5 linked regions of the Oryzias latipes genome follow. The protein of the gene in region 3 interacts with the protein of the main gene of each other region in a pairwise test. Links are inferred from orthologs where the notes say so. Each region holds a gene or a part of one and is shown on either strand. Other genes may lie near its edges.

Region 1 (6,094 bases), on a different chromosome or scaffold from region 3:
AACAGCTTTTTGTATCAGTAGTTGCTTTGAGTCTTCCTGCAGCTTACAAAAAACTTTACAAATATTTTTTTTAAATATCTAACTAACTTTTCCAAAAAGTGACACAAAAACATGTTCCACTTTAAATACAACAACTTTATAAGCATTCGATGATGGAAGACTTGTGTCACAAATGTACACAAAACTAACATTTTTCCTAAAGAAACCAAAACATTGACGTTTTGTCAGCAGCTGAAGGTGAACTGATTAGTCTCACGGTTTACTGACGAAGGGGCGGCCTCTGTCTCTGGCTGGGGAGCGGAACTGGAAGAAGGGCTTGGCTCCATCCGCTTCCAGGCAGGAGAAGAAGCGACTCTGCGCATCGGGGCGACGAGAGAAAAGCTGGGGGCTCCTCAGAGGGGTCGCCTGCTGAGACGCCGCTGCTGAATCACACAAATACAATTAACAGATTCCTCCTCGCTAGTGAAAAATCCTGCGACACAGAATCGGCTTCAAACTCCTGCTGCCCGTTCTCTGGAGGTGTCTTTTGATCAAAACACCTAACGGTTCAGCGCTCTTTTAGGGGTTTTAACGCTGCTCTTGCTGTGACTATTTCCTGTTCTAAACATGGACTTAAAATTCAAAAAAATGATTTATCTTAATTACATTTTTTAAATAAATTCAGAAATTTTTTTATGCCCCTGAGTGATTATAACACAAGACACTTTCCAAGTCAGAAAAACATGCTGCAAGTTATTGATATCAATTAAGCTTTTTTCTTCATGTTTGCCTTAAAACGTGGCCCAAATGAGACAGGGACGTCCTCTTACCGTGGTTTAAGTCTTGATGTCCTGTTTGGGGCTGTGTGTCCCTCTCACCCACATCCACCACCATGTTCCGCAGCCTCAGGGAGTCGTACAGCCCCTGCAGTTTCTGGTACTGCCTGTTTCTCTCCATCAGCCTCTCGGACACCTCGCTGTACTTCCTCTTATACTCCTCCATCACTTTCTTCAGGGATGTGATCTCCCCTCTCATGGATGAGAGCTCCAGCTCTCTGCTCTGGTTCTGCTGGGTCAGGAGCTTGTCCATCTGCTTCAGCTGTCCTTCAGCGCGGGAGAGACTGTATTCTTGATACATGCGCTCCTGATGGACCTGTCAGGAAAAAATAAAAAAATAAAATCAAAGCTGTAAGACGCAGAGGGATACTAACTAAGTTAAAAAGTGACCTGGTAGCTCCAGAAGGCCAAGGCACGAGCACAGATGTCCAAAACTACGTCCGGCCGCAAACCGGCCAACACCATGGCTTTGTACTCCTCAGATGGAGAGAGCTCTGTCCTCACGATGTCCAGCTTGCCGGACAGCGCAGAGGAGCAGGCGGGGCAGGTGGCAGGGGAGCGGCTGAACTCGCCAGATCCATGCTGGTCGCAAAAGACGTGGGAGCACGCCGTGACCCAAGCGAAGCCGCTCAACTTGCTCCGACACTTGGGGAAGTTACACAGCAGTGTGTCGTCACAGAGAGACATGGCCATGACTGAAAGGTACAGCAATGGTTTCAGTAAAGAGACCCGTGCAAAGTGACAGCTGTTGACAGGAAATACTGACTGTGACCATTAAACAACAAATTCTTTGTGATAAAATCAGTCAAGGGGTATAAAAAGTAAAGGATTTTGTGTGTATAGAAAAGTTAATACTAGTCCTCTTTGCTACAGATAATTAAATATCAAACTAACAAGACTAGTTTCTTTTAAATATGGAGATTCTGAGAGAACAACTTAATAAAGCATCCTAATATTTGATTGTTTGCACCTCACCACTAAACAATCATTGTAGACACTCGTTCCCCATTTGAACGACAGCAAGCAGAAAAAGTTATTTTGTTTTTTAACCCGCCATGAGGTATAGGGCCAAAGTAAAGAAACCCCCCCTCCATTTATTTTTTTAAATAAATAAAATTGAGCTACAGGGTTTAAATAAAAAGTGTACCTTTAAAAATTACATTGGTTGAACCTGCCTAATTCTGTTTGAATTGGTCAGAAATTATTACCATATTGCATTAATTAATGAAAAAGAAAAAGAACAAATTTAGGTTTTAAGTTTGACCATTAACTTTTATAAATATGACATTTCCCCACAAACAACTGTATTAAAAAAAAATAAAGTTCCGGTCCATGTTGTCATTCTAACAACCCAAAAGTAAAGTCTGTCTCTGAATGTTTGATTGTCTAGCAGAGGTGTCACACTCATTTTCACTGAGGGCCACATCAGCATATGAGCTGTCCTCAAAGGGCCATATATGACTTATACATGTAACTAAATGTAATGAAAAATAAATGTAACTTCTCCTTGAGGTTAAATAACTTATTATTTATTGATTATACATTTTTAAACTGACAATTACAGTTACATTTAAAACATCCCTTGGCTTGTTACTCTAGCATGAATCCTTTTAAATTTTGTCTGGTTATTAAAATCCACATAACTCCAGTAATGATAAAGATATGATAAAGACAAAAAATAAAGAAAAATAACAAACTGAGCTAAAAATATTATGTATTAAGCATGTATAACATTTGACAAAAAAAGGCTGCACACAGCCTTGCATCCAACTGATGGTTTGATGACAATTTGTCTGCATACACACAAACATTGAATAATTACAACAGCAGCTACACATAAATAATATGTAATCGACAAAAAAAAAATATTTTAAGAAATTAAAATATTTTAATTGAGGCCTTGAGTTTGACACATGTGGTTTAAGGGATCAGTATTAAATTCCCTTCAAAAAGGTGTAATAATTTGGTTGATATTGTGTAAAATACTGTTGCATATACCAAATTTTAAGAAGGTTTTAATATGTTAATAAATATTAATGGGAATCGAAAATTTGCCTAATTAAATTTATATTGTTCTCATAACATTTGGATTTTTAAAGTGATGATTAGTATTGGATACCCTTATTATTCCAAATAAAATAAGCTTTTGTTGAAATGTGTGTTTTTAGACTAGTTTCTAGGCTAGTATGGCTTGTTTTTACAAATGTTAAAGTTTTGTGGGTTATTTTTCTTTTTTATTCCATGAGTCAGAAGGAAAGAAAGTTCAACTTGTTAATTTTTAAAAAGACGTCACTGGCTACAATTAGCTAGCTACCTAGCTAGCGAGTAAATAAATAAAGATTCAAAGCCCTCGTCTTATCTTTAAATATTCGATTAATAATGCGTAAATATAAGTTTAAAGTCACATATTTAAATATAGTAATATTTTATCACCGCAACTGTCTTTTTTTATTCGTCAAATAGATGTTCTTACCACTTCGTCCAGCTGCAGGTGTTAGCTAACAGGTGACGCTATTCTCGCTCGCGCTGTGATCCGATTGGCTGAAATTTTTCCTTAGACAGCCACAGTTGATGGATGCAGCTTAAATGTTAACATTTCTGTTAATTAACTAAAATGAATGGATACTCTAAAAGTTTGCTATTTTTAACATATAAAAAGTCCAAAGTATATTGTTCACAATAAACATTAGCTGAGGCAATAGCTTCACATTAGCACATCTTTAACATTTGTTTGTGTCTATATTTAGGTATATATATGAATGCATGCAATTATTTAAAAAAAAAAAAACTTGATTCGTGGAAAAATATTAGCTCTGACTTAAAAAACAGAGACACACTCTGATGAAAATTGTGTTTTGGGTGATTTTATCATGTTTGTTTCATGATGGAAAGAAAATTAATCTTAAAATTGCATTTCTGAGTATTTCTTTTTTCAAATCGTTGTGAATCAGGAGCAGACATAAAAGGCTGTTTGAAAAAGCTTGTAAGTGTGATGTACAAGTTAAGACGGCGAGTCACAAGCTCCCTGCTCCGCTGCATTCTGATGCATCCACTTGTAGACAAATATATTTGTGTTCGTCTTTGTTCTTCCCTCATCTGAGCTGGCATTTGGCTCAAAACTGCATGGCTGGCTTGCTCAAACACTGCTCGCCATCTTTGTAACACCTGTAATGTCAGATTGGGGATGTGCCGGCTGAAAGCCAGCGAGAGAGAGAGTGTAAACAACAACCCCACACACACACACACAACTCAGAGGGGAATTTCGAACGAACTACTGCTGCTCTGCAGAAACTATGTCCTAGAAAACGAGACAGGTTTTTTGTTTGGAGCTAAAAACTGCATAATCCCAGGTAAAAGTTCAGTGGGAACGCTCTGAAAATAAATAAAAAAGATGATCAGAGAGGGACTTAAAGTAAGGCAGTCAGAAGAAAAAATTAGGATATCACATATTTTCATTGTAGAGCGCATCGTTAATAGACATTTGCTGCTTTCTCACAAATGTAACGTGTCAAAATGTTGCTTAATTTATACATCATAATAATAATGCATGAATCCTGATCATGTCTGAGTCTTAAAAGTGTACTTAAAGTCAAGTTATAGTGGCATCCATCGATCCCTCCTCTAAACCTGCTTTATGGGGCAACAATCTTGATTAAGCAGAGGTGAAAGTTTCATCTTTGTTGGAATTTAACAATATAAAGCCATTACCTAAAACTATGAGCAAAGGGAAAACTGGGTCAAGAACACTCAATCAAATTTGGTTGAAGTCATTCAAATCCATGGATGAATTGTGTTCTGAAGCTGTTTTTCAGGTAAAAATAACATTTGTTTTGGATATATTTTGTTGCACAAATTAATAATTTTGTAAGTTTAGTTCAGTCTCAATGTTGTCATTACTACATGGGTTTTTGAAAAAGAGATTTAAAAATATTGAATCAATACTTAATGGCATTGCTTTTAAAATCATATAGTTTTCTATAGAGTTTTGTCAGAAACGCCTATAACTTCTGTGAAAACCTGAGATTAAAAATGAACAAACTTCTCCTTTTTCATTTAAAGTTATATCATCATGATTCCACAGAGGACAGTAGATGATGTATATGGTTCACCTAAACATGCCACCTTCACCTCCTCCTCCTCCTCCTCCCACGTTCCCTCCCTCTGCCCTCTCTCCTGCTTTTATCCGTCCCTCCACGTGGTACAGGAGTAAAGGCGGGGGGTGAAAGAGGCGCATTGTGCTGTGCAGCACTGGATCCGGGGGTTCACAGTGAGAGAAGGGAGATGCTCACTCAACTGTGTCCAACTCGCCATTGTCACTGATTCCCATCTATTCTCTACCTTTTAAATAGAGCTCTGGTGTAATTTTTTTTTTTAGTAGAGGGGGTGGGCATTATGCACTGACCGATAACACACGAATTACATCCATGCAAGTGGAATGGATGCGTGGCCTCTATTTATAACTAGCCGCGCGCGCGCTTGTTCTCGTCGGCTGTGATAATTGGCCCTATAGAAATCAAAGCGTGGAAATATTGACCGCACGGTCCTCTGTCATAATGAAAACGCTCAGAGGACAGTTTTAAAAAAGAACTTTTTTAAACAAACTATTATCTGAAAACCTCACCTGACCAGGCGATTATCAGAAAAATATAATCCCCCCCACCACCATTATTTAATGGTTGCGTCCACCTGTTGAGCATCCCCATTGTCGTAAACTTGCTTCTGTCATCTTTTTTTTTTTTGGTTGAAAGTTTGTGGCTGCTTTGGAGAAACCATGAAAAAAGAGTAGGGGGGAAAGAGACCCCGAGAGGCTGTGTGTTACACGGCCATTGAAATGCAAATATCGCAGAACAAGGAGTGGTTGTGTGTTTGTGTGTTCCTGTATATGCATGCAGCGGAGCAGCATTGGGAGAGGAGGAGCACAAATTGGACAAGTTTTTTTTCTTTTTTTGGAGGTGCTGGTGGTGGGGGGGGGGACTTTTGACTACAGCCACACACACCGCAGTTCCATATGACACGGTGTTGCCTGGAGGATTTTCCGTCTCTTTGCCCTTAAAGGTTTGTCCATGGAAGGCTGATTTTCACCTTTTACTTTTTTACCCCCCTCCTCCCCTTTTTTAATTTGATTTATCCTCCCTTCTTCTCTTGCATCAAGAACTTGTGGGATTCCTTAGAGAACTTTGAATGCGGGTAGGGGGCTCGTTCAAGTGCGTAAAACGGAAAAAAACAACAACAGAAACGTGCCAAGCGCCTGATGCCCCCCTCTCTGTTTGCCTCGCCGT
Region 2 (5,143 bases), on a different chromosome or scaffold from region 3:
AAGGAACGATGGAGGAAAAGTCTGCTATGAGGTTCGCTTGGCTTCAGCAGTGCAGAAAGGTTAGAGATCAAATCACAGCCAATAATAAGATGGAACCAAAAGGTTAACATGTTGGAGACAGGCAGAGTTACCAGACGTGCTTTGGCCTGCAAAGTTTAAAGCATTAGAAAATGATTGACATAGCGGACAATGCTGATACTAACAAAAAACAATAACTTTTGTTACTGCGTCACAGATTGCGCAGTGGACGGGGAAAAGGAGACTTCCTGTGGGACCTTTACATTTGAAGACAAAGAGTTTATTGTGAAAAGAGGAGACTATTGTCCTCTGATGGAAAAAGTTTGTTTTTACCTCCAACAAGCAGAGGTGAGGCAGCAAAGGAAGCAGTTGCTTTTAATCATAATTTCAGTTTACCTTTGATTATTTCTACATTTGACTCTAGTTGGAGTCAATCTGTTCTTAATTTTTTTAACTGCCTTCAAAGGTTTATCAGTTTTTTTTATTATTTTTTTAAAATAAAGAATTCATGTTCAATGACTAAGTGCCATAGAAAAATGAACTAATACTGTTAATGTATCAAGCCTTGATAACAGAGGGAAAAAAATGTAGTTTTACCTCTTTTTAAATGTTTTTTTTTTTTTTTTTTTACTGACTCTTGGCAGGCTTATGCAGCCAATGAGAACCAGCAGAAGATGCTGGAACAGTACAGACACAGTTTCAACTTCGGTTCGGTTGAATCCCACAAAGAGGGTTCACGCTTCTGGATCAAAGACAAGGGACCAATTGTTGAGAGGTGAACCGCGGCACTAAAACACTTACTTAACCTCACAGATCTCATTTTTACTGCCTCAATTTATTTTCAGTTTCACTCAGACCTTTGCTCCTAGAATTGTTGGCGTTCTAGTAAACCATTTCTGAGTTACCTCTTCTTTGTCCTCAGTTACATAGGATTTATAGAGAGCTACAGAGATCCATTCGGCTCCAGGGGAGAGTTTGAAGGTAACCCCTGACCTGATCATGATCAGTGATTATTGAGATCCACACTGTGAACCTACAGGCCGCACACAATTTAATTGGTGTCCTTGTTCAGTTTGAGGTTCAGGAAGAAGTTTTTCATTATTTAGAATCCATATTATTTGAATCCAAATCAATTTGTAGAGGGTTTATACAGTGCACTGAAGAAGCAAGGTGAACAAACTAGAAATGAAACCTTCTTTATTCAATGAAGAGTATTTTATTACTAGCTTGACTTGTAAATGAAAACGGGTGCTCCAGGTAATAAATACTATTCAGATTTAACATAGGCCTCAAGCTAATGTTTCACCAGGTGGCCTGTTTGAAATCTACATCTTAGCTGGCTTTCTGTAAGTAGAAGAAGAATCAGTTGATTAATGTTCACACATTTTTGGACACAGATAATTTAACATTCTGAAGCCTCCGCACCAGCCTGAAAAATCAATCATTGTCATTGAGGTGATTCTTAAATTCATGGTTAACATTAAAGGAACCGAGGAAGCTGTGTCCTGCAGGTGGATTTAAGTTTAGTCTCGTCTTTCTTCATCTTCATGACTTTAGGAATCTGCTACAATTTTTACTAGAAGTAAAAGAACTTTCATATTGAACATGGTCACTAAGTAATAATTATTTTATTAGTAGGAATCCAGAAGTAGCTTACACATTTTGAAATAAGCTTTCATTCATTTTTGAGGGAAACCAGCAGAATGTACACTCTCTGGTTATTCTGTCTTTTTTTTTTTCCAGAAAAGGAAAAAAAGAAACCCCAACAATAATTATTTCTTTTCTGCCATTATTCAGCAAATCCTTTCTAAGACTAAGAAAATTCCTGGTGTAGTTTTTGACAGAAGTGCTCATTCTGTCTGAAGGTTGGTAGTTTTAGGAGGGTTTCATTCTCTGTTGTTTTGATGCCCAATCCAGGTTTTGTGGCGGTTGTGAACAAGGCGATGAGCGAGCGTTTCACCAAGCTGGTGAGTTCTGCAGAGGTCCTGCTGTCCGAGTTACCTTGGCCTCAGGAGTTTGAGAAGGACACCTTCCTGAAGCCCGACTTTACTTCACTGGATGTTCTCACCTTTGCTGGAAGTGGAATACCAGCTGGAATCAACATCCCCAACTGTACTTACTCGTAGATTCTAAAACCAACAAATGTAATTGTTAGTTTTGAAGCATTGCCCTACAAACTGTTTTGCTTCCTTGCTTTTAGATGATGACATCAGACAGTCGGAAGGATTTAAAAATGTGTCCCTCGGCAACGTTTTGGCTGTAGCTTATGCTACCCAGAAAGAGAAGCTCACCTTCCTCAAAGAGGAGGACAAGGTAAGGTGTTCTGCTTACACCTGTCGCCATTATCTGCTAAGGGTTTTTTGAAATGGCTCTCATGTGTGTGCTGCTCTTGTGTTCCATTTTCTTCTAGGATTTGTTTATCAAATGGAAGGGTCCATCCTTTGAGGTGCAGGTTGGACTTCATGAACTGCTGGGGCATGGAAGTGGCAAACTTTTTGTTCAGGTTAGTCCAGCATAGTTTAACTACACACAGAACTCTATTACCTGGAATGGAAGTAGAATACTTTATTGTAATAACCTGTAGTCTTGCTTTTCTCTCAGGATCACAAAGGCAAGCTTAACTTTAATAAGGATAAAGTGATCAACCCAGAAACAGGAGAACTGGTGAGTTCGTTCACTTTAATGGCCTACGTTCAAATGTGACACCCATTATAAATGGGTTTCAACAGAACAAAGTAGCTCAGCGGGACACTTGGTCTTTCAGGTGTCCAGTTGGTATCAGGGCAGCGAGACTTGGGACAGCAAATTCTCCACAATAGCCTCTTCCTACGAGGAATGCCGCGCTGAATGTGTCGGCCTTTACCTGTGCTTGAACAAAGAAGTGCTCCGGTGGGTTTTTTAAAAAAATCTCAAGAAAATTTTGTTTTAGGATGAAGATCTAAACCAGATGTTTACTTCAACAACATTAATATTTGATAAGTGGTGGTAAAACTCCATAAAACACTTCAGGATTGTAATTGTAGCTGAAAGATCTTATGAACATTGACATTTTCTTCTAGTGGAGTTTGGTTAGATGTATGAAAATTATAATACAATGGATTACAGCTTATTGCTTCATTTGAAAAAAGTTAAGAGTTAAGTAAAAACGAATTTAAATTATTTTTATCTCTGAAAAAGAGGCTGACCTCAAAGTTTATTTCAGTGACGGCTTCAGTGAAAAAGTTCCAGTTCATATACATTTTTGTGTGTTGTAGTATTTTTGGCCTCGAGGGTCAGGATGCAGAGGATGTGGTGTATATCAACTGGCTGAGCATGGTCAGAGCAGGACTGTTGGGCTTGGAGTTCTACACACCTGAGAGCAAGAACTGGAGACAGGTAAGGTCTGGCAACATGGCGCCCGTTTTCCTGCTGTAAGGTTTGTGTTACAAGAGGCCCAGAAAAAGTTTGAATAGTGTTTATAAAAAAAGTGAACATGCAGACTGTTAAGTATGTGTTTCATGGAATGATGCGTGTCTATGTCGGATAATTAAGCTCACGCTCAGTCAGTCTGTGTTTACATGAGCGTCAACAGACCTGTGCAGTTTGTCACTGATGTCTGTTTTCCTCAGGCTCACATGCAGGCTCGCTTCGTGATTCTGCGTGTTTTGCTGGAGGCCGGGGAGGGCCTGGTGGGCCTCAAAGAGGTGGTGGGGCACGACGGCAAGCCTGATGCACAGATTACACTGGATCGGACCAAAATCCACACTGTGGGAAAGCACGCTATTCAGAGGTTCCTCTGTAAGCTGCAGGTACGTGTCCTGTGTCATCTTTAAACGTGCAATATTAGTGATGTGCCGCTCCATATCGAGGCTTCGAAGCGTGTGGCGAGTAGTGGAGGGGGCGTGTCCGTGATGGGTTTATCGAGGCTTGCTTCATTTAGGGTAGGAGCGGAAAATGATGATGTCCGAAGCTTTGCTGCCCAGCTGTACCACGTGATTGATTCATGAAGTGTTTTGGATTGTGCCGCAAGTTTTGACAGAGATATAAATCCCTCAGATTCAAAATGTGGGTGTTTGATGGAGAATCACGAGTCAGTGAGAGTTTAGAGACAGTTTGGTTAGAGGTAGAGATCTTGGAGACAGTTTGGAGACTCCGGAGAAACTTAAAAGAGGAGGAAGTCCCCTGTGTAGGAGCTTTTGATCTAATTTCTCCCAACAGCCCTCACCTCACTGTAAATTATCATTTCCATTTTTGTCGTTTCCGAATAATCATTTGCCATACTGCCAGTATATCCAAACATACATATATACACAGTAAACTGCCATCTCTAAATATATACCTTTTGCATTCTTCATTTTGCTAACAGTTTTATTTACAGCTGTTCTACAAACTCTCACACTTCAAATTCCTACCAATTGATATTTTTATGTCCAGTAGATCTCCTACTAGAGCAAATGAAGCTTCAAAAAGCTTTGCTCTGGAGTGAACCAATTGGATGTAAGGCTTCATGAAGCTTCATTTGCCCATCACCACTGAATATGTGTTATAAAACAAAAATACCAGAATATTTGTACATCTACTGCTATCTTTTCTTTAAATTGTTAGCCACCTGAATATTTAAAAACACTTTTTCATAAATTGTAGCCCTTTTTTCCCCTCCTTGTTTATTGCTGGGGTTACATTCTAAAATTAACCTGTTGTGAATTAAATCTGCGAAGTGGTATTAAAGATGTTTAAGGCTGTAAAACTCCCCACTAGACAATTTATACACTTTTCTCAGACGGGAACATTTTCACACTTTTCTTTAGTTTAAACTCTTAAAGTTCAAACTTTCACTGAAAAAATAGTCAATTTTTAGAGAATAAAATCAAAGATCTGATTAAAGATTTATGTATGTTTAGAAAATTGAACACATTCAGTACAGGAGACACGGCACAGAGGAGATTGTTTGACAAGGTCAACAGCCAATCAGGACGCAGAACAAAAAAGCATGAAAAAAAACTCAAGGAGTAGGAGACCGTGAAAAGTGAACTTCAATAAAGCAAGGGAACACTATATTGTGTTACTATATGTTCCCTGATTTAGAACACTTTCTGCACGCCATTTACCCACAATCCTCCATTTTGTAGGTCTTTAAGTCTACGGC
Region 3 (6,132 bases):
CTCCCACGGAGATGCTGGCAGTGTAGGCAAACTCAATCAGTCGCTCCATAACCTGAGAAGGAGTTGTTTGAGAACTTTTTCATTCCTTAACATAGAAACTAACAGTTACATCTTCAAAAGGGAGTTAAACATTTAGATTGGAAACGAGTTAAACTGAAATCCTCTGGAGACAGAGCAGTCCCTCCATATTAAAGCAGTTGGGCATCTTCTCTTTGACATCTATCCTGTTTACATCCACTTCACTGCACCACAAAACGTAAACTGTTATTCCAAGGCGTGACATGGAAATAAACCCCTTAAAATGATGAATTCTAAGCAAATGCCACTGACCTTGGGGTGAATCCCTTCGATGGGAACCAGCTCAATCCCGCACTCCTTCAGCCCGTTGGTGAACATGGCTCGGAAAACGGGCGAGGAGGAGGCCAGGACCACCTTGTGCGCCACAAAGTCCACTTCGTCCAGGTCTTTGTAGCGCACCCGCAGCGTGACGTCGCATAGCTGCCGCTCCAACCGCAGCTCGTTCATGATGGCGAAGGCGGCCGAGGTGTGGCTCTCCAGCGTGTAGCTGAAGACGCGGTGACCGTTGCGCGTGGAGGGCGTCACCAGCGCTTTGCATTCTGTCAGGCACTCTGTCATTTCCTAGAAAGGGTCTTTCTCCTCTTTAATGTCTTTGCTTCAAGATCGGTGGACACGGTTATTGGGCATCCTGGCACCACATGTGAAATGAAGTCGAGGTGATCGTTTTGCAGAGCTCCAGTCTTTCCAGTTGTCACAGCGTCTCTGTTGTCCTTCCTAGTCTCTGCAAAAGTCTTATTTATGACCACATGAAGATGTCCTGGCTCTGTTTAGCACTCAAGCTGAGTCATGCTGCGAGTTATGACATTGAAAATAGCTTGAGAGATGCCAGTTCCAGCTGGGCACGCCGTTATACACTGGCCCTCCAGCATGCTGAATGGGAGTTAAAGATTGATGTTGCTGTAATTAAGTTTAAACTACAGAGTCGGGAATCAAAGGGATTTCTTTTAGATCAACTGCATTTGTCACAAAACTCTCTGTCTTTCCACACCTGCATGATACTGACAGAAGCCTGTTAAACATGCCTGTTTGTTGGAGGAATAAAAAGAAATATATGGCAGTAGCCAATTAAATCATGCTCTGAAAGTCTCTTATTAAATCTATGTTGGTCAGTTAAATTCCCTAAAGGAACCAACTCATCAGATGGATCAAAGCTAAACTATGACCGTTAAAAGTAAAACAAATGTTGAGATAAATGTGTAGGAATCCAACAGTTTGACTGCTTGTTGTTTGATAATCAAGAAGAGATCCAAAGGCGTCACTGGTGGGTCTGAGAGCTCTTTGAAACGGAGAAGGAAGAACTGAAGTCTATACTTGAAAAAAAAAAACTTCCTTAAGATTTTCCAGAGCTGGATATCGTTTGTTGTGCCGCTGCTTTCAAGCAGGCAGGGAATTTAGCCGACAGCTGAGGGGAGAAGGAGAGAAAAGGTTTGTGTTAGGAAGCCTCAGATAAATTCTGTGGTCACCACATGATCCCAGTTAAGAACCTTTTAACATGCCACTGTAAAGATATACTTTTTATACAGACGTGTACAACAAAAGTCTAAAAACACTAACATTAAAGATATAAAATAAAACAACATATTTGACTTTAAAAACACACTGCTAAAGTACCTTCAATTGGGCATAAATCCAGCTGACAAGTATTTACTCTTATCCTGTGACCAATCCAGCTGATAGTAAGAAGAACATAGAAAACACTAATTATTTTCAGTTAATCAAACCCATTGTTTTGTTTAATTATTACATGTCATGAAGATAGACATGAACATGAGAATTTTTCAGGCTTGGTGGGGCAAGAACATGACTGAAACATGGCAGAGATTGCTCTCCAGGCTGGTTTGGACAAAAGTACGTCAGCAAGGACAGAATGGGCACGGGTCCACGGGAGGACAACAACTCGACTATTGCATAATGTTAAAATGACAGAGGGGTGGAGGGTGCAACAAAGTGAATGCAGGCCAGTTTACTGTCATCACAACTTCTCCTTTACAGAACATGAAGCAACAGGGATATGAAAGACAAAGAGCAGACTGTGGCCAATTTGACTGGTGAACTCTGAATAGGAAGAGTCAGTCCGTCAGCAACAATCCTAACACGATTACTTATATAACCAACACACCATAGGTTGTATTGAGGGACGAGATAAAAAGACAAGTGTTTTACAGTTCGTAGAGTAGGAAAAAGACTATTTTGTTATCAAAAGTCATGTGTTTAAAGGCTGCTGTGGAGTCAGCCAGTGACACTTACAGTAACACGAAACACACTTTATGACACTGATTTGAAACTGCACTTTTCTTCCTCCTGGTGACTAACAAGGAAAACAGAACATTCCAGAACATATTGCTCAACATGCTATCGCTCACAAACAAGCAGCTAGCGTATCAGTCTGGTGAATGTGGCATTTCATCTCTTTGGTATTGAACTGAGAGGGTAAACTTATTTATTTAGCTGGTGTTCAGAGCATTTTGTTTTGGTTCAAATCTTTTTCCAAATGAGCAAGGAGCTCAAAAAGTGTAACATTTTCAATAACATAAACATTATTATGTCATTTTACTTTTTTCTCAAGATATTTATATTGCAAAAAAATGAGAGTTTGTGTTGCATTGTCATTTTTAGTAACAAAAAAGTTCAATAAACCCCTGCACCTCAATTTGGGAACCCCCATTTGAATCAACTTTATTTATAAAGCACCTTTCATACAAAAGGTGCAACTCCAAAAAACGGGCCTGCAATCAATAGCTGTCACTTTAAAAAAAAGCTGCAGAAAATCTGTGGAGACCACAACAACTTGGAGAGACTTTCACTTCTAGATTCGTCGCCAAACTTTGTGCGAAACAGCCAACGCGGAGGGGGCGAGGCCGAAGACAAGCAAAGAGCGTCCAACGTGTTTTGTTGGCATTCGTGGTGGAGGAGGAGAGCTTCCCTCGTTGGTGACTCATTGCGAGCTATTCGCCAAGCCAGAAAGAGTGGAACTGAATGTACCAAAACGCGACCCAGAAGTGGAGCTGGTTCTTATGTAAGCCCGGGGATGGAATTAGATTTCCATCCCGTGCACCTTTCCTAGAAGAACTTTCACACAACGCGAAGTTTAGCTTTCACTCCACACTGACTAAGGTCATCATCTACACTTACTACAAGCTTGTTTTCGGCTGAAACTGCCACAGAGCTGGCATGCAACAGCAAAAACACAGATGAAGGTGGACCAAACTGAGGTCTAAAAAGATAAAAAATTCCGCGGTCTCATTGATTGGAAGAAAACACCGAGGTGGAGGTAACGCTATCGGCAGCAGCAAAATAAGCCCCTAAAATAGACAGTGGAGTAACGTCTGAGAACTGATAGCTACAAACATGCTAACAAAGAGTAAGTACTCAGTCTTACCGCCCAAAAAACCTACTTTCCGTTCAACCGAACTGACAAAACCGTACTGATGGACATTTTAAAATTTAACTGTAAAGTAAAGGCAACTCACGTACTCTCTTATTTCCAACGTTTTCTGCCGAGCTGTGCGCCACATAGGAAGGAGGAGGGGAGGCTGTAACTCACCGTGACTAAGCATTGTACTAGTCAACTGGCCTTCACAATAAAAGCATGCTTCCTGAACGTCGGGACCGCCTCCATTGACGAGCAATGAGTCGTGTTTGCGTCAGGGGGTGGTAGGCTTTTATTGGGAAAGGAGTCTCAGAATTAAAAAAAAACAAAAAAAGAAAACCAGGCCAAAAGGTTAACTTTGAGTTAAAATTGTGACTTATTGCTTAACAAAACTGTTACAACCATTACAGTTATACTTTACTCATATGTTTATCCTCTTAAATAAGCATTGCATCTACACAAGAACAATTCAATCTTATAATAAGAACATACATATGTCACTCATACTCAGAAATCTCTGAACCAATCTACATTAAAAGAAAACATGATGCAGCTCTCTCGCAATCATCTTATCTAACAATTATTTTTTATCAGAAAAAAAATCTGCCTTGCTTCAGATGGGACCAAAACACATTTTGGCTTGTGCTGACACACCAAGTTTTTTCACTCCTGCAAACTGTGAAATCCGGGTCAATAGGGTAGTAGCCTACATAGCAGCCTTGTTTTTAAAAGAAATCACAAGGTGGCAGTAAAAGCCAACAGTTACAGCTGCAAAGGTCAAGCCTCTGTTGAGTCATGTCAGTAAGCTCATTTGTCAGCAGAGATAAAAACAACCGTCTTATAGATTATTTCTGCACACGTGTTCAAGTGTGGGAAAGAAAGCCTGACTGCTGTCTGCAGGAGTATTGCAAAAACCTGCAATCAGCATCTGGGAAAATTTCGATATTGTTAAAGAATCAAACGACAAACAAAACCAGAGCAATGAAACCAAGTCTTTTGTTAACCCACTGATAAACTGTGCTTTGCTGAGACAATAAGAGCGGGATGCATGTGAGTCAATGTCTCCTCCAGATGTGTTTTCAGACCACATAAATCACACACAACAAAATGCAAAAAGAGTGATGGTTCGCCTAAGAAAATATTTTATTATTTGAATGAAAAGGAAGGTAACAAAATACAATTCACATTACAAGTGTTATAAAAAAACATATTTTTCAGTAATGAAAAATTTGTCGCTACATTAAGTTCAGCACAAAATAGAAAACTGTCACATTCATCCACTTCGACTGTATTTCAGCCGCAGATATCTCAAGAAAAATGGAAACGTTTGTGATGATTGACAGAAAGAAGTATTGTAGTTACAGCCCTGAAGTTTTCTTGAATTCCCATAAAATAAGTTACAAGTGCAGATAAATTCTTATCCTTTAAACACCCGCCGCAGCTAATAAATGAAACTTTATTCACAAGATAAAAATTCCGAACTGTGTTTTCATAACTGAGTGGTTTCAGTCACAGTCTAAGTATTACCATATAACATTCAAAAATCTTTTTTTTTTGGCCACATCTCGGATGTGTTGACATTTTAATGCAACTGGACAGAAAATGCCAGACCAACAGAAAATAGAAAGACTTTTGCTTTGTCTGGTTGGTTCACTTTCAACTAAATCAAGAGAATTAGAGAAACTTTCATCCCTCCCACAGTAAAACTACAACAATCTTCATGTGTTCTTAAAATAAAACTCCCTCTTTTCAGAGTCTTTCTCTGCAAAGCTCCACTGCACCACGTACACAAACAAAAGCAGTTATGGTGCTGAGGATTTTATCAGAGCAGGAGTAGCAGACCATTCAACTTGAAGATGTGGATGATACAGGTTGACCTATTTTCTTACCTGTTCCACACCATCAGGACAAGAAGTCATGTTTAGTTCACATTTTGACCAGAATACTGTGGCCCTTTTTTTCTTACCTAAAAAAGCTAGTTCATGGTATTGTTGCTGTTCGCACATTTATTTTTTATTTGTAAAATGTGAAGCATTTGTCAAAGCATGATTCAGCTGCACCTCTATCATACTTCTTAACTTTTTGGCTTTACTAAATACCCCAAAATACCATTGTTGCCAGAGTCTATGACTTGAAGAGCTTGGGATATATAGATTTAATTGGAGATGAAGTGTTGATTATGTTTCCAGTGGAAATGATCGACTCCTGCCCCACGTCCAACCTCTGAGAGCCCACTTCACTCCTGCTGAAACTGTACTCCAGGAACGTCCCAAACCTGTTGATCTGTCCGCCTGTGGCAATCAGACATGGCAGACACAGCAGCCTCAGAATGGCTACTCTCATGTCTCTACTGGTCAGAGTGTAGATGATGGGGTTGAGGAGTGAGTTGATCATGGCTAGCCCGAGGAAGTAGTCGGCTTTGTATAGTAGTTCGCACTTGCCACTGGAACAAAAAAAGTCTAAGAGGAAGAGGACAAACAGAGGCATCCAGCAAGCGATGAAGACACCCAGAACAATAGTCACTGTCTTTAGCAGGGCTATGTACTTCTTAGACTTTCTTGATAAACTTCTTCTCGTGGGTCCTGTCAGGCCCTGCCTCTGGCGCTGTGTGTTGGTGCGCACAATGTGAAAAACTCTGGCATAAAGAACCACAATGGCCAAAAGCACTGCACTGAACACGGAGA
Region 4 (6,131 bases), on a different chromosome or scaffold from region 3:
CTTTGTGGATAGAGGTGGTGAAGGAGCGCAAGCGCACCTCCTCTGATTGGTCGATTATCTGAGGCCCCGACTCTTCCCACTTGTCAGGAACCACCAAGTCTTTGTCCGTATACACCAGGAGGTCAAAGGAGCCTGCAAGAACAACTAATCAGAGGGCCGGCCGAGCAGGGAGGAGCTGCAGGAGTCACAGATGGATTATGGGAACTCACACTGCGTCTCCAGCAGAGGCAGGAAGGTGACGGTGGCCGTGATCTGTCTGATGACGGAGCGGATCTCATCCTGAATGGTCTTGATGGACTTCTCTCTGGGAGCACTGCTTTGAAAGGATCAGAGTCAGAGGTCAGCACACAGAAACAAAGGCTGGACTGCCCCCCTACCCCTCTGGCTCCAGCTGAAGGGGCATTTTGGAGCTGTAGTGGTGTCCCACAGTGATTCAAAGGAGGAGCCGTGGTGGATTGCTGGTAGGACGATCCGCGTCACGCTGTGGCGTTGAGGAGAAACGCATTTCCTCACGTGGGTGTGCGCTGAAGCACAGACGTTTACATTTAAATGTAAGTCATGACTTTGTTTATGCGTGACTTTTTAAATAAAACCCATGATGTGTATTTTCTGAGCGCTAACGCAGCAGACCGACTACTATTCATGACGTTGTGGAGCGGTTGTAACGTCCGGATTTGAAGACACTTTTCTCCATAAACTCAGTCATTGTAGCTATTTGGACGGCAGAGCAGCAGCCTGAAATAAAAACCACAGAAACGTTTGCTCCCTCAGAATGAGAACCTGATTTGGAGTACATGCCGAGTCCCAACCCCACAGAAAACCTTTTTTAAGGTTTAAACCGAATCCCAATTCCTCCCAGCTCCTGCCCATCCCCCCTCCAGCAGTTATGGAAACATTTGAACATTACCAGTCCTGGATGGCGTCATCAATAGCTGCATATCTTCTACGTTAGCATTTAGCTGCCAGCGCTAGAGAAACACACAACATGGGTTTTCTAGCCTTGACCTACATTTAAATGTAAACTCTGCTTCAGAACACGCCTATGTGAAGAAATGCGCTTCTCGTCCACGCCACAGCGCGCCGCGGATCACGCTAGCGGTGGTGGGATAGCCAGCCCCTGGAGAAGCTCCTTTCCTCTTGAGACATTTGGAACTGGAGAGCGGGCTCACCTGCTCTCTTTGGCCGACTTGTCACACTCGATGTCAAACTGCCATCGCTCCAGCACCTCGTTGGTCTCCAGGCAGGTGATGACCAGCACCAGCTTCTGCACGCTGCACTCAAACAGCCATTCTGAAACCCAAACCCGCGTTACACGCCTGCTTTAAGGCCTAACACGCAGACCAGGTAAGTCCAGGCTCAGAGATTTGCAGATCACCGTCCCGTTTTACCTGGACCAGGTGTGTCCATCTGGAAAACAAGCCTGTTCTAACATGACACAAGAAAAACCTATTCCTGCTGTTTCAACACCACCAACACACGAACCGAGCTACACAAACGTCTTCAGGATGCTAATTTTCTGCTGATTCTTGATAGATAGCTTGTGGTGTCCCACAAGGATCAATTCTGGGCCCGCTGCTATTCAGTATTTACATAAATGATATATTCAATGTCTCACAACTATTAAAACTCATTATTTGCTGATGACAGATCTATTCTATTCCATTCTACAAACAATCATAGGGAACTTAATGTGGTGAACATAGAGTTAACCCTTGTGCTGTCTTAGATGACCCCACCCTTACATGGATGTGTTATTCCTACCATGACAAAGGTGGATAAAGGTGGAAAGATGTCATGGAATCCATGGACACCAGTGAAGATCACAAATCATTGAAGAAAAAAGGTTCAGAGCACTGTCTAGTGGGTCTAGATGACCCAACTCCCAACGTTAAAGTGCCTAGGATAGAACAAGGGTCACACAAAATAAAATCATGGCTGACGACAAATCCTCCTTTAACCCAGATAAAACTAGTGTGACATATTTTGCTAACTACTACACCAATACCGATGTCTCAATTAAAATAAATGTCTTAATTTAAAGTGTTACAGAATTCAGATTCTCAGGCGTTTTTATCGATGACAAACTAAGTTAAAGCCTCACATCAGACACACACAAAATAAAGTCTCCAAAAGTATTTCCATCATAAGTAAATCTAAACATATTAAAATACGACAGTAGATATTTATTACACTGCTCCTTAATTTTACCATATTTGACCGACTGTGTAGAAATTTGGGGGACTGATTCTAAGAGTTCACTACATCCTCTGTTTACTTCAAAAATGAGCCGTCAGAACTGAACATAAAGCCGGATATCCTGATCATACAAACAATTTGATCAATCCAGACTTCTAAAACTGTATGATCTTGTTGTGTTTTAACTTCTATTCAGAGCCAGTGGGAAATCGTTACCATTCAATACCAAACAACACAAAAGAGTTCTTAGAAAATGAAGGAGGAACAAAGTGAGGGGATGCAGGAACTTCAAGACCAAACTGACAAGAACCACAAAGACAAGTTTGTGTCTCATTCAATCAAGCAAATGTGACTTACGGTTTTAATCTATGCATTTCATCATTTCTGTAATGACTTTGAGAAATCTGTGTAAATTCTTCAATGTTGCGTCTGACCCTAAATTATGATGAACTCTTTGGGCTTTTAGAGGACTTTTGGGCAGGAAAACATCACTATTTAGGCACATCGACACGTGGAAACAACATGAGGTGTCAATCATCCCAACATCCACCTCCATATCCCATAAATCTGTAAAGAGAAACAATATCCCACGCCTCTTGTCTTCAATAAGCCTTTGCTGGACGCTGACAGACAGGAATTGCATCTTGATCATTGCCTCCATGTTAAGAAATAGAAAAATAAAGTCCTAACAGACACGGCCTGCTTTAGGACAAAGAAAGGACAAACTACCTTTGAGTTGAGACACCACGTTGGTCAGGTAGTTGTTCAGCCTGGGCTCCGTGGAGACCTGGAGGCTCATGTCATAGTGAGTGACCCTGGTGAACGTCTCTGGGGGGTAAATGCCCCGCTGGTACAGGATGCTGTTGATGCCGAAGGCTGTGGGGAGGATCACGGGGCTGTTATTAGCGGGGGGGGGGTTGTGACGTTAATTCAGGTCAAAGACTGAGAACACTCTTTTCGTCCACACTACTCTACGTTAGTTACTCAGCCGATGATAAGTAGTTTGTGTCTGTTCAACCCGAAATCTAGCATTCCTACTTTAACTCTGGTGACGCTCGGCTTCTTTACCAGCACACCTGGCGGTGGGCGGTGTTAGAAAGCCGCCATTAACCTACACATCGACCAGAAGCAGCCATTCGATCTTTAAGAAGTTGGCTTCAGAAGGAAGGCTTTTAAAATGCTGCGACGGTTTAGGGCTCTGCCTTCGGTCTGGAGCCGCCGTAAATACACTCGCTGGCTACACACAACAACCGAGCACGCGGGCCCGACCGCCCGCTAGCACACAACAAATGAGGAAGAGCCGTTGAAAAGCCCGGCTAGTACAGAAACAAATGTTGAAACATACAGAAAAACTCGGCCACCAGCTCCGCGCTTCCTTTAAGGGTGATTCCTTTTAAAGTACTCGTCATTTCATGAAATGACAATCAACCGTTGAAAAGAAACGTCGGGCTTCTTGCTGCACTGAAGGCTGAAACTGGTACCCGCCGTCCGATTTGAAAAATCAGTGACAACCTCTACGCATGCGCAAAAAAGACAGACCTCCCCACGTGGTCAACCCTAGACAGGAGAAAATGACTTTTTTCTTTTTTTGAAACTTTATTTATACAACAGTAAACATCACATCGGCAAGTTTACCGTCAGATGGCAAAAATCAATGTTATCTTAAAAAATAAAGAATAAATTATAGTATGTAAATAAAATTAACAGGGACATCGTTAGCAAAAAGGAAAATTTAAAAACAAAAATAAATAAAAATATATTAAAGTATTTCTCAGTAGAGGGAACTATTCATCAAGCAAAAAAGCTCATATTGTTTCAGTGTTATGCCTTGAATGTAATAATCTTTTGAAGATATTAGTAAAATTGATAATCTCTATCAAAAATCCTGTAAAATTGTTTTTTTGGTTTTTTTTACTCAGCACTTATTTAAATAGAAGTAGTAACAAATCAATACTATTTCCTACCAATTGATCCTGCGAGTTAAAATATGTAAGAATGTGTTTGAAATATATAATAATAGTACTGTTCATGCTTATAAATCTTTTCAATTGGATCCAGAATTTAAGGGAGAATTGACAATGGCAGAAAAGGCGAAGAACTGATTTTGGGAAATCATTACAAAAGCTACAGTTATTTCCTATATTTGAGAATTTGAATATGAACATAGTGTGGGGTAAATGTTATGTAGAATTCATTTGTGTATTTCTTTAATTTTGTTATTTATGCCAAATGTTTCTGGCAGTAACTATGCTTTTGTCCAAATGATAGTTAAAATATTATTCCAATAAATTTCTCCTTTAGGTGTTATGCTTCTTTTTTCATATAAAGTAGTAAATATATGTTTGTTGTAGCATTTTTTATTGAAAATATCAATATCATTAATTGTCAATAGAGGGTCTATTTTTAGATGCCTTGTGATATTTAACCCTTGTGCTATCTTATGTCCCCACCCTTGAGTAACCGGCAGGTCGGCCTGTGACAGGTGCATGCCTGCTTGATTGGGGATGTAGTTCAGCTGTTCTGCTTCTTTATAAGGAACAGGGAGTGAGTTGACAGACAGTGGCTGCCTGCCTGCATGGTGGTATGTATGGCTGAAGCTCCTCTTGTCGGAGAATGTAGATCACCGGTTACTCATTTTTATTCTGCTCTTTTAACTAGATTCTGTTAGCGGCTGGACGTGTTGCAGATGTCATGAGCCACTGCGTGTTCTTTACCCACCCTTATTATACATTTTAATGTGTTTTAGAGTGGTGCTGTATTTATTGTGTTGTTGACTCTGATTCCTTTTTATTGTTGCATAGGTGTGAGTCGGGCGCCAGTGCGTGTGGTGTTGGTGAAGGGGCCCCTTGTGGCAGCGTCTTCCTCACTGTATTTATTTCCTTTTTAGTGTGTAGTGGAAGTTTCTTTGGCACGTTTTTCTTGTGTGTGTGTGTGGATTTGTTTTCAGCACGGAGTGGAGTGAGGTGCGCTATGTAATCCATGGACACCAGTGAAGATCACAAATCATTGAAGAAAAAAGGTTCAGAGCACTGTCTAGTGGGTCTAGATGACCCAACTCCCAACGGTAAAGTGCCTAAGATAGCACAAGGGTTACGGGGAGAGGTCATTAGTTGAAATAATCCTGAGGGAAGAGCTTTCATTACAATTTTCAATTCTTTTTGCTTGTTATTGGAAAATATTTTTTAAGAACCTGTCATAACCCAAAAGGGTCTTTTATTTTTTTAAACCAGTGTGGTGAAAAATTATGTAACACAGTGTACTGGGTGGCTGTGGGGTCGCGTTCTAAGTTCCGGTGTTCATTGAACGCATCAAGCAGAAATGCTGATTGGCTCTCAGTTCTGTCGCTCAACCTGTAGTTGGGGAGTTTGGTCCAATAGGGTTCAGCTATGGCCCGAATAAGGAAATGGGGCTGATGCAGGAGCAAGGGAATAAAGTTTGGGGGAGTGCTCTCAGCGGGAGGATACAAGAGTTTCTGGGCAAGTTGTGCAGCATTGGTTACAGCCTACAGTAACCAGAATAAATAACCTTAACCCTTGTGCTATCCTAGGCACTTTAACGTTGGGAGTTGGGTCATCTAGACCCACTAGACAGTGCTCTGAACCTTTGTTCTTCAATGATTTGTGATCTTCACTGGTGTCCATGGATTACATGAAATCTTTCCACCTTTATCCCCCTTTGTCATGGTAGGGAGAACACCTCAATGGAAGGGGGGGGTCATCTAAAATAGCACAAGGGTTAAGAGATTAAGTCTCCGTGCCTCAGTGTGTGGGAAAGGGACGCTACAATTGCATTACCGGGGCAGCTCTTTCGGCCAAGGCGAGCAATTAAGAGTTCTGGCTGTTGACATCGACAGATTAGTTAACCAGATTTATGCTCACATGCCCCCAGCCATTCAGGAAGAGCTAGCCCGGGACCAGACGACCTTCGCGTTCAAA
Region 5 (5,930 bases), about 17 Mb from region 3:
GAAATGACTAAAAAAGATGTGTCCTTTAGGTGCAGCATGTTTGAACTGGACTACAAAAGTTACAGAAGACGAGCGTCATACCAAAAAAAGGGAAGGGGTGTTGTCCCGGGGGTCTGCAAACTTTAGGGCTAAAAGAGGCCAGTTTCTTTACTAACCAAAAGTTAGGAAGTGCCATGTGCCATGCACATTGTTTCATTATTTATGTTTCTGTGGCCATCAAGCCATTCATTCAAAAAATGTAGCTTAAATATTTACAAAAATTTAAAAAAGTTATAACAGTTTCACAGTGTCCATTTTTGGTTAAAAAACATTGAACTTTTTTGGTTTTAACAGGAGAAAATACAAGTTCCTTTCACTATAAAACAAAATGACTTTTTTTTAGGCTGATGTTATTTGCATGTATTAACGTGCAGTCACAACAAGTGATAGAAATTCATGCACATTTCTGCATTGTCTGTCTGTACGTATTTTAAATGTGTCAAAGGCTTGATTTTGTTGTTGGCCACACTTGTTTCAAATTGAACTTTAAGTTAAAGTCCCATTATCTGTCACGCTCATAGGTGTGTGAAATGTGTTTTCCACATTTGATCCATCCCCTGGAGGAACAGTGAGCAGCAGAAACAAACAGCTGCTCTAAGGAAACATTTGGTGGTTTAACCCTAACTGTAACCATAATCATAACCTTAAACCGTGGGTCTGTGCAGCCAAGAAAAAGGTTTAGCACTGGCCAAACGTGTTGAAAATTATGTGCGAATAATTTATATATATAAAAATGCAAGAGAGTTAAACGTGACATTGTTTTTCATTCTGACTTTGGAGTGCAGTGATTCTTTTTTCAACCATCAAATATTACCTTGACAACATTGGTGTAGAATCAGATTTTTTTTAATCAATACATGTAAATGCAATTCTATACTTTATTAACTTTACCTCTGAACAGCAACTAGACACTGTTGTCCAGCAAAAGATAAGAATAATTACTCTGATAATATATCAAAGCCTTTACCATCATTTTGCTCTGTTATCTGACATGTTAAAAAAGTCAACGAATGCCAAAAAACTAAAAATCTACAACAACAAAAACTACAAATCAATTACTTATTCAAATTGTTCGCATTTTTCTTCAGAGAAAAAAAGAGCTGTAATGTGGGGCTGAAAGAGCTCCATGCGGCTGCAGAGCCTTAGGTTGCAGACCCCTGGGTTCAGTGGAAATGTGTGTGCCAGTAACCTTGAGCATCAGTCCACACATGCTGAAGATCATGCCAAGAAGATTCATGTAGTCAGGTGTGGGGTCCTCAAGGGTGGGGTTGGATTCTGTGCTGGGGGGCTTGTATCTGCCAGAATACAAATTCAGAAATAACTACACAGGGTCTGTGATAAAAATTGAAATGAAATTTGCTTCTACGTCACACCTACAAGATTTTTCCAATGGAATTCTTTCGTCTACTTCCGATTGATTCTCAACAATTTGAACAACGAAATACTCAGAATGCAATTAATCTTAATTTTCTTAATATAAGTCAACCATCATTATAAAAACACCACATGAAAATATTAAAAACGCCAAACATCGGAGTGGGTCTGTAACCCTTGTGCTATCTTAGATGACCCCACCCTTACATTGACGTGTTCTCCCTACCATGACAAAGGTGGATAAAGGTGGAAAGATTTATGTAATCCATGGACACCAGTGAGGTTCACAAATCATTGAAGAAAAAAAGTTCAGCGCACTGTCTTGGGGTCTAGATGACCCAACTCCCAATGGTAAAGTGTCTAGGATAGCACAAGTTAAATATTCACCCAAATCAACCCAATTTTAGTATTTAAGTAAGAGAGAGAATAACTATTTAACAAGTAAAAACATAATAAAACCAACCGCAGTTCACTAAATCCAAATTAATGTGAACAATCTCTTTTCATATATGTATCTGAATAGATTACAGTGTAAACGCTAATCCAATTTAACGCACTCGTTATATCATGACAACTCACTCAGCTGTACTAGCTAACTAGCTGCTACTAGCTCCCTCTAAAGTGGAGTGCTTTCTAAAAATCAAACAAAAACTTTTACCTGAGAATTTTATTTTGCCTCCTCGGGTCTGCCATGTTATTGGAGGACATATTGAGTTTGTAATATCCTCAGAAGGTGAAAAAAGCGAAGGAATTTCAACGCCGATAATCGCAGGTTATCAGCCTCTGTTGAGAAGGAAACTTCAGCTAACACATTAGCTCAAATGTCCGGTTTGGGATTTTTAAAGTAAAAGTTTCGCCATCTTCTAGATATCGGTTGTTTGTTGGAGGTTGGCAAGCAGCTTTGAAGTGCAACCAATCTGAAGTGCGGATCAGAATTATTATTTTATTTCATTTCTTTTTTCCTTTGTTTTCTCCGAGAGTTTTTTTGTAGAACCACCTAAATCATTCACAAGGACTTAACAATTCAAGAAATGCAAACTCTTATTTTGGAGGGATCATCTGATCCCAAAATGCATTGCGTGTACATGCTAGCAACCATTTCTAATAAGATGAATGAAACTAGATGTCGATTATTATTATTGTGATTTTGTTTAGGTTTATGTTGACGTAACATGGCTAAAAGCGCGAAATCTTCCAGTTAAAAGGAACAGATCAAGTGTGGAAACAAACACACAAGTGAATTACGACTAATTTAGTCAAGTGACTTAGTGCTAAAACAGAAAGTTACAAGGCTTAGACTAGAGGAAAATAAATTTTAAAAAGGTAAGAGAAATTGTCTTTTGGCACGTCATTTTCGACATACGTGTAGCCAGTGTTAACATTTTTTTCTTGGCTGCACAACCTTCCAGAGGAAGGTTACATGTTAGGATAACAGTAGTTAGTTGGGGTGAAACCACCAAATGGTTCCTGAGACTCACTGAGGGAGAGCAGCTAATGTTTGTTTCTGCTTCTCACCGTTCCTCCAGGGGATGGATCATGTGGAGAACACATTTCACATACCTAGGACCGTGACATATAATAGGACTTTAAGTTTAACCTTAAATACGTGCGGCCAACAACTACATTCAGCCTTAGAGGCCCATTTAAAACACATGCGGACGATGCAGCAGTGTGCATCATGGCTCCACGTATGTGAATTCCATCACCTTTTGCGCTGGTCGCACGCTTATACGTGCAATAACAGCCGGAAGGCAAACCAGTAAAGTTGTATTTTTAATTGAAACACTTTTATAGTGTAACGTTTTGCATTTTCATAATTTTAATCCTCCGTCTTCCAGCCTGATATTATTATTTTGATTATTTAGAAAGAGACTGGTTATGGCATTTCCTGAGCCCAGACCTCAGGCCCCCCAGCTTCCCCAGCATCTTCTGAGGACGATCAACTGCCAGCAAGGAGCTGTCAGAGCTGTACGCTTCAATGGTGAGGAGCTCTTTATTACCTTCGCGAAGACATTGTGGATATTAAATAAAAAAGAGAGTGAGAAATAAAGGTGTTAGGAAAAAAAATTCGACAAATATTCAATTGTGCCAGCTCTCTAATTTTGTTACAGTTTCAATAAAATATAACGTTTTTATTGAACTTTTTGTAATACAAACAAGAGACTAGTAAAATGATCCAAAAAATCTTGCATGAAATTACGCAAAACCATAATGTATTAAAGATCCACTAAAAAAATGATGTTTTCTTTTTTAACATGTATTTGTGGCAATTTATTTGATGATGGAGGACATTTATAAACTCAGAGGACTTTCTTTGTTTTCCTCTAGCTTGTATCAGGCTCAAAACGTTATGGCTGGATAGTTCCAATACTGCTCGCCGTTGTTGCTGCACTGCTAATGTTAGGTTGGGGGTGTGACGGGGCTGTAAGATAGTGTGAGAGCATGTAAACAAAAAGGTGACAGGAAGTGGGGAGGGGTTGCTCCACATCAACAGTCTCTCCCAAACCTCAGAGGCAAATTTCTAACAGCGTAATCATAATTAGAAGACCACGCAGAACGAGTTTCCCTTTAAAAACCATGTTTGCATACTCACCAGAAAGTTTTTACAAATGAAATCAAACAAAAGTACGCAAAGATTTCCCCAATATATTCTGAAAGAAAAAAAGAAAGTTTGAATTTGTTCTTTTCCATTGTACTGTACTTTATATGTTTTAAAAATGCTTTACAATATATAAAGTAAAGTATATAAAGTAAAGTAAAACATACATTTTCTTTATCTCTTCACAAGTATTTTGTATGGCACATAGAAGTATTAGCTTGGAATTTTTTCATTTTATACATGATTTGTAAAGTAATTGTTTTACCAAATATAAGCTTTCACTTTTAAAAAAAGTCATTGGTTTGATCAAAAGAGCCTGACTCTTAATTCTGGCTGGTGTATGCTTTTTGAAAAATGAATAGACATGGAATAATTAAAATAATAATAATAAAACTAACCATTCAGCTTATGGCACAACATTTAGTTGGTTAAACGTTGATTTATTTTTCTAATTTTGAGTCCAAAAGGATTTTTGGTCTGAACCATTTAGATTTAAGGGATTTGACTCAAACTAAGGTGGAAAATTCATGACTGAAATAGCAAATTCTTTCAATAAAACACTCAACACCAATCTGTCTTCTATTTGAAAAAAATATAAAAACATTGCCTCAAAGGTAAATCCGTCCATAACTGTTAGGATTCGTCTTAGATTTTGTCCAACACATGCTTCTTTTAAGCTCATACCTGCGTCTCCCTCACTGTTTGTCAGGTGATGGGAACTACATCCTGTCCTGCGGCAGCGACAAATCCCTCAAACTGTGGAGCGTGGGTCGGGGGACTTTGCTGAAGACATACAGCGGCCATGGCTACGAGGTTCTGGACGCTGACAGGTGAGGAAACCTTCCCTGTTTCCTACAAATCATTTCAAATGTCATCATTGGCTAGGTGACAGAAATCTGCCCTTACAGGCTACTACAAAACCATCAGCAAAGGAAATGCAGAAAAAAGCAAACTGGATCAGTAGTTTTAAAGTATTTACTGTTTTCTTTTGTCTTCCCAAAAAAACAATTTCCCAAAATCCGACCTAAACACATGAGATGTGATTGGAATGACTACAATGTCGTCTTTAAAGCTCATCAGGTTTAAGTAGAGATCTTCAAATGAGTCAAAGGACATACATAAAGACAAATTATCAATATTTCCTTCAAGTTTAACATGTGTGCTTTTGAGTTTTAAACTGTTTTCATCCTTTTTTATTTACAATGTCTATTTTTGACATTTGCATCTGGTTTTTCATTCACTTGAAGCCGATCCTGATTTGATCCCATAACTTTGACTTTGAAATGTCTTTGTGGTGTTTTTGATGCAATTAAGAAATGTGTATTTCCCATTTGCTCTCTTTTTAGTTCCTTTGACAACAGTCAGATCTGCTCCTGCAGCTCCGACAAGACCGTGATTTTATGGGATGTCGCTACAGGACAGGTCACACGGAAACTCCGAGGTCATGCAGGGGTCAGTTCGACACTTTACTGTTCCATCGTAATTTTTTGTTTGTTTTTTGGTTTATTTGAAACACAGTTTTCTCGCCTTTAGGGGTCTCTCCATACTCCTGCTTCCCTCTTTACATTTGTAATGTCTTATTTCATCCTTCCTTCTGCAGAAAGTGAACTGTGTCCAGTTCAATGAGGAGGCAACTGTCACCTTGTCTGGTAAGAAATCACTTACCGGTACACAACTGTAGTTTAACAATCAGCGCAATATTTCAGCACCAGACAGCTGTTCTCTGTTGCCCCAAAGTGCTGAAGAGAAGAGAAGAGAATTTAGAGGAGTGACCTTAAAGCAAAAAACATAATCAACAAACAAATACAACAAAATTAATGTTATACCCGTATTTTTGCCCCCCATTTCATTGTCACATGCTGCTTGTTCTCACTTTACGTAGGATCCATAGATGGGACAGTGAGGTGCTGGGACAACC

Evidence for each region.
Region 1: the proteins of keap1 (region 3) and ccnb1ip1 interact in binary tests that used the Homo sapiens proteins (3 or more experiments, as listed by UniProt). The two-hybrid records come from large-scale screens. The link is inferred for Oryzias latipes from reciprocal best matches to the Homo sapiens genes KEAP1 and CCNB1IP1.
Region 2: the proteins of keap1 (region 3) and dpp3 interact in binary tests that used the Homo sapiens proteins (3 or more experiments, as listed by UniProt). The two-hybrid records come from large-scale screens. The link is inferred for Oryzias latipes from reciprocal best matches to the Homo sapiens genes KEAP1 and DPP3.
Region 4: the proteins of keap1 (region 3) and mad2l1 interact in binary tests that used the Homo sapiens proteins (3 or more experiments, as listed by UniProt). The two-hybrid records come from large-scale screens. The link is inferred for Oryzias latipes from reciprocal best matches to the Homo sapiens genes KEAP1 and MAD2L1.
Region 5: the proteins of keap1 (region 3) and wdr83 interact in binary tests that used the Homo sapiens proteins (3 or more experiments, as listed by UniProt). The two-hybrid records come from large-scale screens. The link is inferred for Oryzias latipes from reciprocal best matches to the Homo sapiens genes KEAP1 and WDR83.

Annotation. Positions count from the first base shown.
Region 1 is NC_019876.2:17,646,988-17,653,081, forward strand, and holds the start of ccnb1ip1 (E3 ubiquitin-protein ligase CCNB1IP1), read right to left. Parts: upstream 3,390-6,094; 5' UTR 3,289-3,389; intron 1,511-3,288; 5' UTR 1,509-1,510; coding exon 1,206-1,508; intron 1,132-1,205; coding exon 810-1,131; intron 423-809; coding exon 253-422; 3' UTR 1-252. UniProt on the Homo sapiens protein: Ubiquitin E3 ligase that acts as a limiting factor for crossing-over during meiosis: required during zygonema to limit the colocalization of RNF212 with MutS-gamma-associated recombination sites and thereby establish early differentiation of crossover and non-crossover sites.
Region 2 is NC_019872.2:7,883,595-7,888,737, reverse strand, and holds part of dpp3 (dipeptidyl peptidase 3), read left to right. Parts: coding exon 1-59; intron 60-235; coding exon 236-366; intron 367-662; coding exon 663-793; intron 794-940; coding exon 941-999; intron 1,000-1,935; coding exon 1,936-2,130; intron 2,131-2,218; coding exon 2,219-2,331; intron 2,332-2,428; coding exon 2,429-2,521; intron 2,522-2,619; coding exon 2,620-2,682; intron 2,683-2,782; coding exon 2,783-2,907; intron 2,908-3,272; coding exon 3,273-3,393; intron 3,394-3,626; coding exon 3,627-3,806; intron 3,807-5,126; coding exon 5,127-5,143. UniProt on the Homo sapiens protein: Cleaves and degrades bioactive peptides, including angiotensin, Leu-enkephalin and Met-enkephalin. Also cleaves Arg-Arg-beta-naphthylamide (in vitro).
Region 3 is NC_019859.2:10,399,711-10,405,842, reverse strand, and holds the start of keap1 (kelch-like ECH-associated protein 1), read right to left. Parts: upstream 3,672-6,132; 5' UTR 3,553-3,671; exon of another isoform or gene 3,549-3,552; intron 3,476-3,548; exon of another isoform or gene 3,458-3,475; intron 1,749-3,457; exon of another isoform or gene 1,690-1,748; intron 1,481-1,689; 5' UTR 637-1,480; coding exon 331-636; intron 53-330; coding exon 1-52. Other genes in the region: sphingosine 1-phosphate receptor 1, read right to left, coding at 5,573-6,132. UniProt on the Homo sapiens protein: Substrate-specific adapter of a BCR (BTB-CUL3-RBX1) E3 ubiquitin ligase complex that regulates the response to oxidative stress by targeting NFE2L2/NRF2 for ubiquitination.
Region 4 is NC_019876.2:30,701,169-30,707,299, forward strand, and holds the start of mad2l1 (mitotic spindle assembly checkpoint protein MAD2A), read right to left. Parts: upstream 3,727-6,131; 5' UTR 3,606-3,726; coding exon 3,542-3,605; intron 3,073-3,541; coding exon 2,926-3,072; intron 1,291-2,925; coding exon 1,170-1,290; intron 317-1,169; coding exon of another isoform or gene 314-316; coding exon 210-313; intron 133-209; coding exon 1-132. UniProt on the Homo sapiens protein: Component of the spindle-assembly checkpoint that prevents the onset of anaphase until all chromosomes are properly aligned at the metaphase plate.
Region 5 is NC_019859.2:27,116,030-27,121,959, forward strand, and holds the start of wdr83 (WD repeat domain-containing protein 83), read left to right. Parts: upstream 1-2,490; 5' UTR 2,491-2,736; intron 2,737-3,278; 5' UTR 3,279-3,291; coding exon 3,292-3,394; intron 3,395-4,721; coding exon 4,722-4,842; intron 4,843-5,358; coding exon 5,359-5,464; intron 5,465-5,612; coding exon 5,613-5,661; intron 5,662-5,894; coding exon 5,895-5,930. Other genes in the region: wdr83os (protein Asterix), read right to left, coding at 1,229-1,334, 2,072-2,121. UniProt on the Homo sapiens protein: Molecular scaffold protein for various multimeric protein complexes. Acts as a module in the assembly of a multicomponent scaffold for the ERK pathway, linking ERK responses to specific agonists.